Canis lupus familiaris: one gene and its partner. The protein of the gene in region 1 purifies or fractionates together with the protein of each later gene. This does not show direct contact. Links are inferred from orthologs where the notes say so. Each region holds a gene or a part of one and is shown on either strand. Other genes may lie near its edges.

Region 1 (5,246 bases):
GGGACCAGCCCCAAGTGATATTAGAGATGTACCTGGCCCAAAGGTAGAAAATGCATGGCACACATACCACAGCATCCCTATGCCAGGCCTCTGGCAGACATCATTAATTGATCACAGCTCTTTCCTACTAAGCCTAAACACAGCCTTGGAAACATCCTGAACTTGACACTTTAGTTAACCAGTAAAACGAACTAGAGTAAGCAAGCAAGTTGAGACCTAATTGCCACCCCTAACCTGGTTCATGCTGGGCTTTGCCTACCCAGAGTACCAGCACCACTTAAAAAACAGCTCAAGTGAGAGAGGGATATCCAAATGGTTACTTTCATCCTGATTCCCCCAATACTTTATCTTCCAATCAGAATCAGAGAGGTAACCATTTCCCTAAACTACATTAAAAGGAACAGGGAACAGCAAGGAGAACTGGTTGTAGGAATGACTTTCTGCTTCAGATCAATCAGAGTAAACAAGGTTTTATGTTCTCCCTAAGCTTCAGTGTTTGATATATTATTGTTTTCCAACAGATACTGTAAATATTCTCTCTAAAAGGGTTAAGAAGATAGAGAAATGGTACCAGGATTTTTCCAATTACATTTCAACTCTATACATGTTAAAAACACCAACTGTATGACTTCATTCAACTAAGTTTTTAGCCTGATCTTACTCAAAGACCATGGATTCAATTAATCAAGGCTCCTTCCCATGGTCAAGTTCAGTATAAGCAAACTAATTCCATCAGAGAACAGGCTTCAAGCCCACACAATTGCCTGAGGGGCCTTGCTCAATGGAGGAGGGGAGGATAACCTAGTGTTTCCATATGGTTCCGCCTATTCCCAGAAATGACCAGCAGGCAGACAGCTCATCAGAAGGTGTATGTAGCATTCTCCAGTAGATATAACAAACATTCAAGAAATCTACGTCTTGTGTTAATTTGCTGGGACAGTTCTGGGAAATCACTGGAGTTTTCTTGGCCTTAGTTAACCTACATGTAAAATGGGCAGAATAAATGTCTTAATGTGTCATGGGTACAATATAATGTGAAATATCAAAGTGTAAAAAGCATACCATCTAACCTGCACAAATCAGGAGTCCACATAGACTGTTTCTCAAACTCTCCTGTTTGTTGCTCTACACAGCCTAAGAATGCCACATGTGATAATATCATTAATCTGAAGAGGACAATTGGGTTTATCTATTTGGCTGGATGCCAACCTCCCTCACCTGAACACCCAGGGAAGCCCCAAACAGCTCTTCTGTGACCTTGGAGGTAGAGTACTTTCTACTTTTGCAAAAAGAGGGAATCATCTCTACCCCGTTCCACCTTGGAGAGAAGTAAGTAAAGAAAAGCAAAGAACTACGTGTTGATGTATCTGCAGTTTTTTGGAAGCTGTGGGAGAAATCAACCATCATTACAGTTAACTATCATTTTCATGCATAATTATTATTACCACCCTCAAAGAAGTTCTAGCTTCCTGAGAGCTCCCTTCAGCGGCTTCCCCTATGATCTTGTGGGAAAAGCTAAAGCTTATATCACATTGCTCTTGGTTTCTTAACTCTGCCCCCAAAAGATCAACTAGAGAGGGACCCTAACTGCAGGCTTTTACCCCAGAGATCCCAGGCCTCAGGCTCACCAGCCATGAAGAGCAGGGAGTGAAGCAAAGTCTTTCAAGCTTTTCATGAGGCATTTGGCCAAACAGCAAACTCCCAGCCCTCTCTGGGATCAAGTGAAGAGAGTGATTTTGTGTTTTTCTGCATTTTAATTGTTGGGATGTGGCCACACACGGCGGTAATTGGAACAATGCAACTACCACCACGCAACTGATACTCTCAGCCTGAGTTTCCTAAAACAGGCCAGGCTGAGAGGGGGAACAGAACGGAAGCCATAAGGAATCAAACCAGGACACAAAAGAAGGCAAACCAGCTCCGCGAGGGGCCTCCTCTTTCTCAGGCAGGCATAGAAAAAAGTGTAAGAAACCCTCTCTTGCCGCCTTCCTTCCCCTTCCATTTTGTGTATCTGAGGGGCAGAGACAGCCCTGAATGTTCACTAAACAAGTTAAAACTTCTCAGCTTAACAACTGGCACAGGGCTCAGCCCTTCACAGAGCAGCAGGCCGCTAGGCCCTCCCTACGACCCCACCAGGCCCAACTCTCAATCCAGGCTTTCCCTCCACCAACAGCCCCCTAAAATAAAGACTGGACCCCCACCCCATCTACTATTGGATGGTAGTAACCCCTGACGTTGGGGTTTCAGGGATGCTAAGGTTGTGCTGAAACCTGGAGAACCCAGGATCAAATCAAGCCAAGAGGGAGGAGAGTCACAAATCCCCTGGGGACCCTCCCCCCAGGTCCCAGCCCCACACCTCTGGGGGACACTAAAGAAAAACATGAGGGAGGCAGGGAGGTACATGAACAGGTAAGTGGGGAACTGACTGCTCTTCCTCCATATGGCTCTGGCGGGGATAGGGGTGACAAGTGGGGAGCACCCCTCCCCCCACCCCGATGAAGAAGCAAAAGGCTAGGCCCCCCTCCAGTCTTCAACCTCTCCCTCGGTTGCCCTGCCTGTCCCCGCGGGGTGGGGCATGGGGCGTCCGCTAGCCCCTAGGGGGGCACCAGGGCTCGCTCAGGGGGGCTGTCTTTCGCCTCTTCCCAATCAGCTTCCATCATCTGGCCGCGGGAAGCGAACTCAGGACGCAGGAGATGGAAAGGGTCTGGGACTTAGCACTCCACCAACCCCTCCCCCACCGGGTCCCGTGCTCTCCCCGTGGAGGCGTCCAGAGAGGCCGTGCCGCGCGCGCCGCCGGGCTGGGGGAAGGGAAAGAGGGAAGGAGGGAGGGACAGTCGAGGTGCCCGCCCCGAGGCCCCAGCGCCACCTGCCCTCGCCACCTACCGCGGCTCCTCCAGCTCCCTGGGCCGCGGCCGGAGCAGCTCTGAGCGCTCCGTTCGCCCCACGGTGCCCTTAAAAGGCGCCGGCGCGAACCAACGGGCCCCGAAGGAGAGTGGGGGAATCGCTCTGGTTCGCAGAATCGCCCTGAACCGCCCGGGGAGGCTCGAACCCCGCGTCGCTTCTCTCCCAAAATCTTTTTTGGAAAGTGCTGTCGGGAATGAGCCAAGCTCTTTGATTTAGGGATGAAGGTGGCTTCTTCACTATCGAGTCACCCCCTCCAAAATATTGCTGAAGGTGGACGGACCCAGTTGGCGGCACAGCTCCAAACCCGCGGGGGAGACCGTGTCGGACGAAGGTAAACAAAGCGATTCTCCTCGCCCTCCATTCCAACATTGGCCCTAGTACGGCCCCCTACCCGGTTCGGGCCGCGTAACAGAAATAGCCAGAGTTGCTCTTACCTGCTCTCTCCTCCCGCCCTCTACGGGCACCTCTCAGAAGGAATCCCCCTTCCGCCAGCAGAGGACCGGCCCGCGGCGTGAAGACTTCTGGGAAATGTAGTCCAAGAGCCGATCAGGGCCTGCTCTGAGTCCCGGGAGCCCCTCTTCCAGCTGCCGGATACCCTCCAACCTTATAAACCCAGGACTTGTAACGGTTGCGGGGCCGTTCCCAATTGATTCTGTAATTAGCCCTCACCCAAAACACTTTGTAAAGCTGAAAAGGGCCCAGGGCTGCTCACTCCTCCTCCTTCCTCTACGCACCCCCACCCCCCAGCAGGATGAGGTAATGGGGTTGTGATTATGACATCATAGGCGGTTCAGTTGCTTGCGGGGGTGGGCGGGGGAGGGGGGGGAGTATGGTGGTTACAGCTGGACCACTTTCCTTAAGACAGAAAGGGAGGGAGGAAGGAAACAGGCAGCTGGGTAAAAGATGTTGATAGCTTTGTATTTCCTCTTCAGGAAGAGGATGCCACCCTTTATTAAATTTCCACCACTACCATCACCTCCCACCTCAGCCAAAGTTTAAGTCTTTTTTGAGAAGCCTGAATGTAGACGTTAGTAGGGAGGAGGTTGGGGAACAGCAAAATGGTTACTGGCTCTTATGTAAATTTGAGGCTCAGCTATCAAAGAAGGTTTAGAAAAGCAGGCAGAAATGGAAAAAGAAGTTTTAAACAATGCTTTCGTGTTGTGATCTCTTTGTAGGGCAGTTTTAGATTTTTTTTTTTTTAATCCATTGGGAAGTAGCAGTAATGCAGGTAATCTTTACTGTTACACTTAGCAACACGTCCCTTGAAAGACATATGCTTTCTCTAAATATTTTGTGCCTCATTCAAATCTGGGACAGGTATGTAACTGTGATCAGCTAGAAAGTAGAACCAGTGGTGTTCTTCCTCATAGAGCCAGGGAAAGGAGTAGGCAGGAGGTACCAAGTCTGCAAACTGAAAAAGAAGAGTAGAGGCAGAGTGAGCTACTTATGAAGAAAATGGGGGTGGAAGGAAGATGCACTGCACATTTCCTTTCCTTGCACATTTCTCCTTGGCAAAAGAGGGGACAGGGGCCATGAAGTGGGGAGACCTAGTTTCCAATAATTGCTGTTGTGGAGCACTTATTATGTGCCAGGCACCGTGCTACATACTTTAATATGTATTCTTATTTTTTGCTTAGAATCATCAAATGAGACAAATCTCCCTATTTGACAGTTGAAATGGTTGGAGAGATGAAGTGATTGTCCATGTGGTGGACAAAGGTAATATTATAAAGCAGTCCTGAGGCTCTAAAGCCCTTGGTCTTCATTCCACTTGGTAATCCTTGTTTTTATTATCAACCATACTTTATTAAAGTTCAGTGACTGAGAATAAGAAGTAAAGTTAGCATTGGCTCATTTGCAAAATATTGAAATAAAAGGAGACATTAAAAAAGCCATATCAGGTTTCAAGGCCTCAATTCCAAGAAATATTGTACTCCTTTCATCAAGTATAAAATAACCCCCAATGCAGCCCAATTTCCCACCATTGTTAACTACAATTAAATGTCCTTATGCCACCTTTTTCTTAGATATTTTAATTCATGTCCTATTTTTTCTTGCTGCCCAATTTTTCTTCTTTTGTTTTTCGACTACTACCTTGAATCCCATCCTAATTGTTACCTTGTGGGCCAGACCCTACTCTAACCCTGCTCCAATGGGTTTTAGAAAAGGATACTACCTGGGCTCCCTTCTGGTCTTCATTCAGATTCACTGATGGTTCCAGGGCCTGGAACCAGTCATCCAGGAGGTCATCCGTAGGTGTGGAACCCATTGGCTCTAAGAGATGCTCCATTCCCTGGCTGGGAAAGTGGCAGAGTCAGAGGAATATGCACCTCTTTCAGACT
Region 2 (4,732 bases), on another chromosome or scaffold:
CTATGCCAGTTACTGCCCATGAGTGGCTCACAACCTATAGTTCGAGTGAATTAGCAAGATGGAAGGGACAGGTTTCTGATACGATACTAACAGCTATATAACCCAGTATAAGTAAGTCATTAAATTTCGTTGGCCATTCTCTCTTATTTATAAATGCATGGACTGATCAAGATCTGTAATGCGTAACTTTTCTTTAAAAAATGAAAACTTCACAAGGTTTTAAACCAATGAAAGGCCAATTCCTCTGACTGCCAGAGAGTATGACTCTCCCATGCCCTCCTAGGCACTGGCTCTGATCCCCAAACATCTTCTAAGAACATAGACTGAAAACCCATGAATTAGAATAATTACACATAGTGTGTAGCTCTAAAATTCTATCATCTTAATTCACCCTCAATTATTCAGATCAAATACCCAATTTAAGGCTACTGGTCATCACTTCTTTATTCCAAATCATATTCTCAAAATTTACACAGTGATGTTTACATTGTTTTCAGAGTGTCCCTCAGGCCTTTTATCATTATTTTTGTTATACTGAAAATCTGTAAAATATAAATCAAAAGGCTTAACATTTTCTAAACTAACTTACTGTTCTTACCAGCAAATTAAAAAATCTCACCCCCATCTCAAAATCCTAAATTCCCCATTAGGATAATTGAAAAAATTTAAAAATGGATAAATGCAAATTAAAGACTGACCCAACATTTGAATATTTAAATTGGTAAGTAGGCATCTTTTTCTAAAAAACAATTTTCAGATTACACTGTCACAGATTACAATCAAAAACAAACTGTGAAAAAAGAGTTTTGAAAGCAATCCATTATATACCTCATTGGCTCCACTGAACAGAGGTTCTCCAGTGTGCATTTCAACCAAAATACACCCAAGGGACCACATATCGATAGCAAGGTCGTAAGGCATTCCCAGCAGCACCTCTGGAGACCGGTAAAAGCGACTCTGAATGTACTGGTATATCTGAAATACATGTCAGTATCATGTTAATTCCAGCATAAGTTTTGTTTAATTATGCTCAACGCTGAAGTACATCTATCTAATATTACCAGAAAAAGTAACCACCTATCCCCTGAATTTAGGTTCTGTTGACAGCTTTCAACTTGCTACTACAAATAATGTTTAAATAACTAAACACTTCAAGAGAGCAGTTACTCTTGACTGTGAAATGCAAAACATACACAATTCAAGTCCTTCCATTTATTCCAATCCTAACTGGTAATCAAAATACACACCTTTAAAACAAATAATTATGCCTCATCAGAAAAAAGATTATTATTGAAAACCGTTTGTTTCCCTATTAATTCTTCTTTCCTGCTCCGGCTGGCATTTGGTTAACCATAAATTTAAGGCCTCAATTGTATCTAAATTAACCTAAAGAATGTTTTTTAGCATTAAGTCAAATAGACTCAGTACAACGTAAATGAAAATTCAGATGTACTAACCACACAGATAAATTGGAAAAACAACTGGGAGTCGTTTCTGACCAATCACTTCTTCCCTATACTGTCCCCTTCCACCTCAATCTAAGGCCTCTTAGAAAAAGAAAATCTTGAAATGGATAATTTTCAATGAAGTAATCGAGAATATCTTGAAAGACCAATTCATCTTCCCTTAGCCCCTGTAAATTTGTATCTAGAAATATCATGAAAGCAAAGAAAGTTTTATTTAAAAAGAGAAAGAAACAAACAAAATCCTAATTAAACATCCTCACTTAACACTCAAACTAGGCAGCCATCAATCAGCATGGTGCTGCTTTCTCATGAATACTTTTGTGGCTCCCATCTAAAACTCCAGCCAAATCTCCAAGAGTAATCTGATGCCCCCATAAGCTGGTCACCTCAACCTTAATGCTGTATCAGAGTGAAGAAACTGAAATTCAAAAGGGCCAGGAGGAAGTTACTACATTTCCAAGTTTCTATAGGCCAACAGCATCGGTAAAGCCCCAAAGACTCCCTACTACTGAGATCGTCTTATTGCACAGCTTCTGCAAGAAGTCTGTTTCTCACCTATTCCGTCTGGTTATCTCCAACGCTGTGCACCTAAATCCCCTGAAATACACCAGCCCTGCCACCTTCTGAGACTGAGACTGTAGATCTAGGGTAAGGCCACCACATGTGTATTTTAGAAAGGACCTCTCATTCTAATCTGATAAACCCACATAGTTTAAACCTCACTGAGCTAAAGGGTTAATTGTCTTAGTTTGGCTGGTGAGACATAATAGTATTTGGTATTAGTACAGAACATATGATTTTATTTAAAAGGGGGGGAAATTTTTCCAAATCCAAATCCATTCAAAGGACTCTCAAGATGGGCATGTGTTTTCCACTCACGATATACTTTACCCACATGAACAACTATGCACATCTTCTGATTTTCAGGGGCATCTGAAACTGCAAACTTTGCTTTCTAATCCTTCAATTTATCTCAGTGATTTACAGAACACTGCTACCATGAGTAAGTTGCAGAAAAAAAAAAGCCAGATAACCCTGTGAGCTGACTATAAATCTTCATGATTAAAATAACCAGCCATATTTAAAACATGGGGAAAAAACTGCACAGGACAAGACTCTCACTAATTTGGAAAAAAGAAAACTAGAAAGCCAATACATAATAGTATCTGAATGTTAGTTGTGGTTTTTCATGTTTTTCCCCCAAGAAATGCAGTTTCAGCACTTTCAAGTAAACAGGAACAGGGTTCAAAAACGAACAAAATATTATTAAATGATTTTAATTCCTTTCAAGAAAAGAGTAACCTATCACTTCTGTTTTATATGTGCAACACTGTTAAGAGTAGCTTTTGTAACACTAGAAAGAAGAGCAGGAAAAATCTGGTTTCTTAGCTAAACCTGAATCTATTTATTGCTACAGATAGGTCTGTTTTTAGCAGTCTGAGGAAAACCAGTTAGGACACGTGTCAAAATTTATATAGGGAAAAAGAGACTTACATTTATTTATCAAAACAAGTATGTCTAACCAACTGTGTAATTTCTGTACTATATCACCATGTGTAATGCAAAATAACCTATACTGTAACACATCAGTTTTTAAAGAAAACATTTATTTTGATCTACCTTTCAAGAAGTATTTCATAGCACAGATTCAGTGTTCTAGTACTGGGAAATCCCCAAATTCATACTAAACCCGTTACTTACAGAATATAGCTACAAATCACCTAATATTTAATTCACTCATCTCCTATTCTCTCTCCCTTTTAGGCATACATGACTTTTTTTTTCAAATCCACTTTTAAAAAACTAATACCTTCTAATTCAGAATCTTATATTTGCATTTTAAGAGAGATTTCCCTCACAATAGGCTTAACACAATGTGATTCAAGCGGCACATTTTAAATAGAACCATCCTGAAATTATTTCCAAATTAGATATAAATAATAACACTTCAATATCTAACAACACTATTTTATTTAATTGTCTTAATTCCCAAGTCCTAAAATATACTTACCCTCTGCCCCAACTGACAAGAACTGCCAAAGTCAACGATCTTGATTGCACTGCGTTTGGGGTTACAAAGAAGGATATTCTCAGGTTTTAAGTCACAGTGAATGATACTAAGTTCTGGAGTCGCGAGGAAAAGCAGTGCAGTGCACATCTGCTGTGCAAACTTTCGTGTTAGGTTCAAAGAGACACCTCGAAAATTGGTGTTCCTCAACAAGTCATAGAGGTTGTAGGACAGCATTTCAAAAACTAAACAGAGATGGTTTCGAAACATAAAGTGGCGTTTCAAATGCACTGAAAGAGAAAAAAAAGTTTCATTTTAAATTATACACACCAATAAAATGAGACTAATGTATGCACGAACTCTCAAACAATCTACAACATTTCAATGTCAAATGGAGAGTGAAAATCAAGTTAAAATTTGGAGATCGGCATTCTGCAATAATAGCACAATCTATAATCAGGAATATCTAAATTGTTTGTCTGCTGAATTAAACAGGTGTGGTATCTGCCAATAAGCAATATAATGTTAGAAGTACCACCAAAACGTTTTGTTTAAAAAAAAAAATGAAGTCAGATCTGGAAACACAAGTAGCAAAGTGACAAACAGAACTGAGAATACTTCAGTAACTTTATGCTCACTTCTACAAGAACGCATTTTTTACTTCCTGAGAGCCCAACCTCAAAACTTCATCTAAGCTCCACCCACGGGGATCTCCAGGTTGTGACAGTGCCGTACTTGGCAGCTCTCTCTGGGAAGGCTTTCCGGCTCTGATACATATCCACATTCCGCTGTGCTGAGCCTTACATCTCACTAGTAATTTCCTGCAACAATTGTCAAAGGAAGACATAGATCTTTTTTTCTTTTAGGCAAATACAGCAAATATTTGAAAAGCATGCTTTACAAGATATTAGAGTTCATAATCAAGGCATCTGATTATGTTCATCAAGCTGGTATATGGGATATCTTGTGCAAAACAGAAGGTCTGGGGAAACTTGAAAATGAAGCTCAATCACAAGAATAAATTATAAGACTTATGAATGAAAAAAGAGTGTAAGAAGCCATTACATGCGATCACTGTTGACCCTCTAAAAAGGCTTAATACTCACTAAATTGTTTCAAAGATTGTGCTTTTAGTACTAACACTGACTGCACATCAGATGAGGTCATTCAATAAAGTAGAGTGCTGCCCTTCCCTGTAAAAATCTTATATATACCAAACTGAACCCTTGTAACTCAACTGGAATGACATAAAACCACC

Evidence for each region. Proteins that work in one complex are often made in the same cells at the same time.
Region 2: the proteins of FAM53C (region 1) and DYRK1A purify together in Homo sapiens (affinity purification with mass spectrometry; 8 studies listed by BioGRID and IntAct, counting the BioPlex papers as one, with this or other methods). This does not show direct contact. The link is inferred for Canis lupus familiaris from reciprocal best matches to the Homo sapiens genes FAM53C and DYRK1A.

What each region holds. Positions count from the first base shown.
Region 1 is NC_049232.1:25,988,777-25,994,022, reverse strand, and holds the start of FAM53C (protein FAM53C), read right to left. Parts: upstream 3,653-5,246; 5' UTR 3,339-3,652; intron 3,236-3,338; exon of another isoform or gene 2,884-3,235; intron 2,410-2,883; exon of another isoform or gene 2,392-2,409; intron 1-2,391. Other genes in the region: SLBP2 (uncharacterized LOC474694), read right to left, coding at 4,187-4,315, 5,081-5,201.
Region 2 is NC_049252.1:32,307,540-32,312,271, reverse strand, and holds part of DYRK1A (dual specificity tyrosine-phosphorylation-regulated kinase 1A), read right to left. Parts: intron 3,765-4,732; coding exon 3,478-3,764; intron 976-3,477; coding exon 829-975; intron 1-828. UniProt on the Homo sapiens protein: Dual-specificity kinase which possesses both serine/threonine and tyrosine kinase activities. Exhibits a substrate preference for proline at position P+1 and arginine at position P-3.